Linked DNA regions of Tribolium castaneum. The protein of the gene in region 1 purifies or fractionates together with the protein of each later gene. This does not show direct contact. Links are inferred from orthologs where the notes say so. Each region holds a gene or a part of one and is shown in the gene's direction. Other genes may lie near its edges.

Evidence for each region.
Region 2: the proteins of Cont (region 1) and Nrx-IV purify together in Drosophila melanogaster (affinity purification with western blotting; 4 studies listed by BioGRID). This does not show direct contact. The link is inferred for Tribolium castaneum from reciprocal best matches to the Drosophila melanogaster genes Cont and Nrx-IV.

Annotation. Positions count from the first base shown.
Region 1 is NC_087403.1:3,391,750-3,394,892, reverse strand, and holds the end of Cont (contactin), read left to right. Parts: intron 1-3; coding exon 4-144; intron 145-188; coding exon 189-361; intron 362-408; coding exon 409-1,284; intron 1,285-1,336; coding exon 1,337-1,505; intron 1,506-1,554; coding exon 1,555-1,688; intron 1,689-1,732; coding exon 1,733-1,931; intron 1,932-1,998; coding exon 1,999-2,096; 3' UTR 2,097-2,396; downstream 2,397-3,143. UniProt on the Drosophila melanogaster protein: Required for organization of septate junctions and paracellular barrier functions.
Region 2 is NC_087400.1:9,577,460-9,581,732, reverse strand, and holds the start of Nrx-IV (neurexin-4), read left to right. Parts: upstream 1-1,362; 5' UTR 1,363-1,515; coding exon 1,516-1,576; intron 1,577-2,077; coding exon 2,078-2,182; intron 2,183-2,236; exon of another isoform or gene 2,237-2,256; coding exon of another isoform or gene 2,257-3,078; exon of another isoform or gene 3,079-3,102; intron 3,103-4,273. Other genes in the region: L-aminoadipate-semialdehyde dehydrogenase-phosphopantetheinyl transferase, read left to right, coding at 2,257-3,078. UniProt on the Drosophila melanogaster protein: Seems to play a role in the formation and function of septate junctions.

The DNA of each region.
Region 1 (3,143 bases):
AAGGTTCGGGGGGGCATCGAAGAATTTTAGAGAACGGTAATTTGGTTATCAGTTCGGTGTCCCGCGATGACGAGGGGCAGTACACGTGCAGGGCATCTAATCAGTTCGGAGTGGACGAATCGAAGGGACGCTTGATCGTTTTACGTAAGTTTAGTACAGTAGTACGGCTGATGGCAATGATGGTTTAGGGGGCCCGCGTTTGATTGAAAGCTTGACTCCGAAAATTGTGACGACGGTCGGCCGTTACTTCGACTTACGATGTCTCGCCGAGACTGAGGAAATGTTAGACATTGCGTACGTTTGGAGCCATAATGGCATTAAAATCCGCGACATCGACATCAAAAACATGAATTATCGTTTGGTGAGTAGCTGTAACCTGTGTATTGCGTCCTCAATTGCGGAATTTAGCGAATCGATGGTGGGTTTCTTTCCGTGACAAATGCCACGTTTACCGACGCTGGGGAATACGAGTGTACTATAAAATCAACCGTTGGTAAAATCTCATCTCGGTCGGTGGTCGTGGTCGAGGGGCCTCCTGGTCCGCCAGGTGGCGTCACCGTGTCCATTCAGAAGAGCTCGTTCACGCTGCAATGGACCGATGGTGCCACTCACGGCTCCCAAATCCGGGGTTACACCGTCAGTGGTCGCACGAACTGGAACCAGACCTGGGTCAACATTAGTTACATTGTTGATGTGCGGGAGATTGACAGATACACCGGCCAGAAGGAGAGTCTGATTGACACTGCCTTGACTCCTTGGTCCACTTACGAGTTTCGCATAGCCGCTTGGAACTCCTGGGGGATGGGGCCCCCGTCAGCCCCCAGCCCCCGGCATTCGACGCCGCCGGACCGTCCCTACATCGCCCCATATAACATTGGCGGTGGAGGCGGCAAGATTGGCGATTTGACCATCACGTGGTCGCCACTCAAGCCAGACGAGCAGAACGGTCCTGGCATTTACTACAGGATATTCTGGAAGCGGAAGGACCAAGAAGTCGAATTCCAGACTCAGGAATTGAAGGAGTTCGGGAACACGGGAATGGCGGTAGTGCACATACCGCCACAGTACTACTACACGGAATACATTGTTAAAGTGCAAGCTATTAATCAGATAGGTCCTGGGCCGATCAGTCCAGAACATGTTATATACTCTGCCGAGGACATGCCGCAAGTTGCGCCACAACTGGTCGTTGCTAGATCGTTCAACTCGACGGCGCTTAATGTCAGTTGGGTACCAATTGACCAGACGAGGGAGAAAGTCAGAGGCAAACTCATCGGACATCGTGTAAGTAAACCAAAATCGCCGAGATTTGTTCCATAGTTAGCGCAAATTATAGATCAAGTACTGGAAGAAGGGCACCAAGGAGGAGGAAAGTGTCTATTATTTGTCGCGTACGACACGGCCGTGGGCCCTTATCGTCGGTTTGCAACCCGACACGTACTACTTCGTCAAAGTTATGGCCTACAACTCGGCCGGTGAAGGCCCCGAGAGTGAACGTTTCATCGGTAAATATTTCCCCCCTCTTCCGTGATTTTTTGCTAATTGTTTGTGTAGAACGTACGTTCCGAAAGGCGCCACAAAAACCACCGTCGTCGGTTCATGTCTATGGCATCAATCCATCGACGGTCAAAGTGGTGTGGCGGTACGTCCAACCATCGTTGGAGGAAGAGCCGCTCAAAGGCTACAAGGTACGGTGTATGTTGTTTTGCTTGTCTGACTCAGCGATTTGCAGATTCGTGTATGGGAATTCGATCAAGACATAAGCACCGCGAATGACACTATAAAACCATTCGGTGGCAAATTAGAAGCCTACGTTAATAACCTACAGCCTGGCAAAACCTACAGAATGCGTGTGCTCGCATACTCGAACGGCGGCGACGGCCGCATGAGCTCCCCCGAAGTCAAGTTCCGAATGGGTGGGTTTAGCAATAGTAATAATTGATTCGTTCACTTGGACGGCTTCGCTTAGTCTTGCACGCTTATGTGATTGTTTTGCAGGTCCACTTGCATATTACCGAAGTGCTTGTGAGGATTTAAAACCATTTACAATAACAATCGTCATCGCATGTCTGCTTCATTATCTACTAACAACATGAGTCCAGTTTTTGTTATGTTTTATTTTGTTTACTTCGTCAAAAGGCCATCATTTTTATATCATTCCGACGTTTGAGGCTTCTGAACTTGTGCCTTAACAGGATTGCATTATGTAAAACGTACCTGTATCAAATGTAATACTTTAGCAATATTTTTTCTAATGACGTGTTCAAATTTTCTGTGCTTTTACATCATAAATCATAAATCCGTCCAACACAAGGTTGTAGTTTGTTTTTATCTTTATTATATAATAGAAATATACAGAGTATCGGTGTAATTTTTTAAATAAATTTTTTGTAAAACATTGTGGTTTTAATCGGAAATCCTGACACTACCTCTAATAAATGTGTGGAGCTGTCCATGCATCCTCCCCAACTGGCTCGCCTGATAGCTGCTAGGTGTCGCCACGCGCACTTTATTGCGGCTAAATTAGGAGCAAATCTTCTCCCCAATAAAATTTGTCGTAAAATCTGAAGGTGAGACAATAGTAAAGTAAAATTTCTGGTTGCAAATGCAGATACGTTGATCTGAAATGAGTCTAGCAAGCATAAGCCCCGTTTATTACTTTCAATTTTGCTTTGAAGGTGAAAGTTCCACCTGTCTTCATTGTCTATTTAGCACTGCAGACAGACAAGGATAAAAGTTGCAAAAACAGGCGTTTGTGTGCAATAAAAAGATAAGAACGTTTTTCCTGAAATCGCGATCGATCGAATTTTCAGAACTGTATTATTTGAGATTCCTAGGAACAATTATATTGTTTTCGTGTTAAACCTTTGTCGTGGGGTTGTGTATGATGTGCACGTGTATTGTGGTTTCTTTTGAAAATATCCACCGGACTGGAATTCAGTAGCGTTATATCTTTATCATTAAAAAGAGGAACGTGTCCATTGCCGAAATTAGTTTTTTCCAATAAGATTAAATCGAGCGTATCGACGATTGGACCTATACGAGTTAATTAAGGTTGCTGAAGGCTATAAATCGTTTTTAAAAGCTCCGCTCAGACTGCTACAAATGAAAGACGTAATAATGGACAGAGCAATTTTTAACAA
Region 2 (4,273 bases), on another chromosome or scaffold:
CCAAAAGTATAAATTATAGGTCACAAACACAGATTTTCGGGGAAACGATCTTCCAAAGAAAAACGTCGTTTACTACATCAGTGGGTACCTGGCCAGGAAGTGTTTGGGCAAATACACATATACCCAACCTGCAAAGAGTACGCCATAACGATGGATGAACTTGACGCTTCTACACTTTTCACGCACTTCAAAGGACAACACACAGAAAAATCCGGTGGCACAGGTGGGGCAATTCACTTGAAGCGGACCACTCAAATAAATGCGACAACCTGAAATTCGGTTATAATTGTTCTCTTAAAAAGTGTGAATGTAAATACGTAATGATTTGTTTGTGAGCGATTTATTTAAAAAGTTATTGACTTCTAAAAATTGACCAAATATTAAGCATAACGTTTTTGTAAATTGTTTTTCTAATTATACAATATATAACAAAATATTTAAAATGGTGTTTTATACACAAAATTCACTGTTCTTTGTAACTCTAAAATCAAATTTGAAATTTGAAATTTTTTCGTATTGAAAACCGAAAGTGAAGTTTCAAATCCAAATTTTAGTAACATGGACCATTTTTTTAAATTTGTTTTTATTTTAAAAAATAGCTTAAAGTAAATAGAGTTTACACTACAAGTCGCAAAATGGGAGTTTTATTCGTTTAGGAGATATAATACTTAATGTACTCAAAAACGCGTAATTTCTTGCGTAAACCGGCCGATCACGTACATTAAGTACTGTATTTCCTATAGGAATAGAGATCCCATTTTGCGACTAATAATGTAAATCCTAGATTATAAGCAATTTTTTGAAATAAAAAAAAATGAAAAAAAAAATGGTTCAAGTTACTAAAATTCGGATTTGAAACTTCACTTTCGGTTTTCTACACGAAAAAAATTCCAAATTCCAAATCTGATTTCAGAATCAAAAAGCACAGAGAATTTTCTAGATATATAAAGCACTATTTTAATTATTCTGGTATGCATCAGTTTTTTTGAATAAAAGCTTCCAAAAACTGTCTCATATTTCGTCAAATTTTTAGAAGTCAATATCTTCACAAATAAGTGTCATACAAAAAATCATTATGTATTTACAATTATGCTTTCTAGGAGAACAATTATCCCGAATATAACCGAATTTCAAGATACTTTTGGAAAACTTTTAATGCATGTAAAGTCAACACGTATTACTGGTTGCCTGTACTTACCAATTTTGCACATCATCTTAAGAAGTAGATAATGAATAATTTTCAAAACTGATATCAAAAAACATAGAATCAAAAATTCGTATTTTACAAACAAACACACTTGTCAATGTCGCCAATCGGAGCCACCCATTGGTAAAAATTCCCAACTGGGTCAGTTGGCGACCCTGCAATGGGTGTAACTGTCGTTTGTTGACTACAGCTTGAGTCATCAGCATGATTTGATCAAATAATTTCCAATTTTTTCATTTGCAGTGTACACCAAGTGTTCGTTTATTAAACTTCAGTAATTATTTCGTACCAAATCGTGGAATGTAGTAATGGAAATCACGAATTTTCTTTGTTTCTTTTTAACTGTGCTTGGACAAAGTGTGTTTGCAGGTAAATTTCAACTCCAACTGTCATTAAATGTTTATGATATTGATAAGTAGATAAAACATTGATAAGGAATAGATAAGGGAGCTTCAAATATTGGTCATAAAATCATAACCTAAAAAGGTGCAACTTCACCAATATTAGAGCATCGCCAATGTTGGGCCCCTTAATTATTTAATTAAAACAGTTTTCGGTTTATTTTAGTGCATTTTGACCTGGCACCGGTCTCAATTTGCACATCTATTTCCGATAATGTAAATAAGGATGTATATTTCTTCCTTTTTATTGATTTTTCGTACTTAATCACTATTTTTAATCCCGAATCGAACTGACCTCTGTCCTGTTTATGATAAACCGGTTCAAGGAATCAGAAAATTAGAATTTTAAACACTGTTATTTCCGTTTATGAAAATTCGTAACCACTGTTGGCTGTGAAAATAGTCAATTGACAAGTACCCACTCGATTTTTTCATTGCATCCTCAACCCACTTGATTTTTTGATTTTAGACTTCTACAATGAGTACGAATGCAACAACCCGTTACTACAACGTGCCGTTTTAAAGGCCACATCTTCCATGCCGAAAAGGGGTCCCGAAAACGCCGTTTTGTGGGGTAAGTTTTTAATACCTCTCCCATCGTTGAAATATCAATGGAATGGTACTGTAGGTGCCCTTTAACGAGCAAAAATGTCGAATAAAAGTGTCCGTTGGGCTTTCAATTTATCCAAATGGGAGCCCTCCCATTCAGACATGTTGCTAGCAACGTCTTGTGTCCAAGTTGAGGAGAAAGAACGCTTAGCGAGATTTGTGTTCAAAAATGACGTTAAATCGTCGTTAATAGGTCGCTTGTTAATGAGGAAATTCGTTAACGAAGCGACCGGACTCAAATATAACGAAATTAAGTTCGCGCGCGATGAAAAAGGCAAACCGTTTCTTACAAATAACAATTTTCCGATAAATTACAACGTGTCCCATCAGGGGGATTACACGGTGTTGGCTGGGTGTAACAGTGCGGGTTTGTTGGGGGTAGATGTGGTCAAAGTGGAGTTTCCGAGGGGTAAAAGTTTGGGTGAATATTTTAGATTAATGTCGCGGATTTTTTCGGGAACAGAGTGGGAAAAAATTAGGGGGCAAGGTAGCGAGAAAAATCAGCTGGCGATGTTTTGTCGACACTGGTGCTTGAAAGAGAGTTATCTGAAGGCTGTAGGTGTCGGAGTGACGATAAATTTGCAAGATGTTTGTTTTAAAATAAACTCGGATGTTTTGAGGAAAGATCGGGTCGTTGATGATACAGAGGTTTATTTTAGAGGGGAAAAATTAGACTGGGAGTTTCAGGAGATGCTTTTGGATGATCAGCATTGCGTTGCCGTTGCAACGGAGGCGAGCACTGGCGAGAAATTTTTTTTCAAAGAGATTGGTTTTAATGAAGTTATGGAAAACGCTGTTGCTTTGTTAGAACCGGACGAGGATTATTGTAATAGTTTTTTTAAAAAGTGTGACAAAAGTTGATGTAATAAAGTGGGTTTTGGGGGATTTTTGTTTGTTTGTTTTTTTCGTACCATTCCATGATATTTTTACGAGGGTTGTTACGATTGGTACCATTCGTAGTATGGCACAATGTTTTAATTTGATGACCCGATTGCATGCAATTTGATTAGTTTGTCAAGTATTGATTGCATGGAAATTTTGTTTTATTAAGTTCGCATTCATGTTCATGTGGGGGAATCGCTTCTTTTACTTAAAAGTTTAAGAAACGTTTTTTGTTTGTGTTTTATTCTTATTGTTGGTAGTCATAGTTACCAAGTAGTTAGTTATTTTTTGTTGTGTTAAATTAGTCCGATAAATTATAATTTCACTATTAGGGTCGCTAAAACAATAGGGATTTATGAATTTATTCTGCTCTATTGCGGCATTTTACACACATTACCGAAATTTTGTACAAGTTTTTGCGAATAATGTTTGAACATGACACTGTTTAAAATAACCATTACATTTATAACTCAACTCAATGATTACAGATCTTTAAACTGTTATACCAAAAGTATATCAAAGAAAAAAAAATAACGAAAAATCTTCATAAATAATGAATAATAATATGGAAGTTACCTGTTATTAATTTTGGAAGAGGAGAGTTCTAATCTCAAAAACAAGTTTCAGGATCGTTCAAAAATTTCTTATAATTATAATTAATTAACATTACATCATTTTAGGACAAGTGAGCTTAACTGTTTTATGTTAAAAATCTGTAAAAAAATGTTGTTAGCTTCTAAAAATTATTAAATAATAATTAGCAATTCAAATAAACATTATTTAATCATTGTTTATTTTAGAATACATTGGAAATTGTAAAATTTAAAATAAAAGTATTTTTTTAAAACTTCATATTTTGCTATGGCCGAGATAATTTGGGCCGTGTGAATAAACTGAAGTAAATGCTTTTTTGTACTCATAGCTATTTTTAGCTATCTAAAATATTTAAGGTAGCTCCAGCGTGTGGGAAACGAACTTTCCCGCACTGCGGTGTTTTTTACTTTGCAACAATGGTTAGGAACATTTAATAGGTTGGTATCGTTACCCGTTGAGATAGAAACGATAATTTTTTTATGATGAGTGAAAGTTCATGTCAATTTGATGATTTTTTGACCAACCCATCAGCAAAAGAATTAAATTATCAAAAAAATTATTATTGATTTTGTTTTTGAGA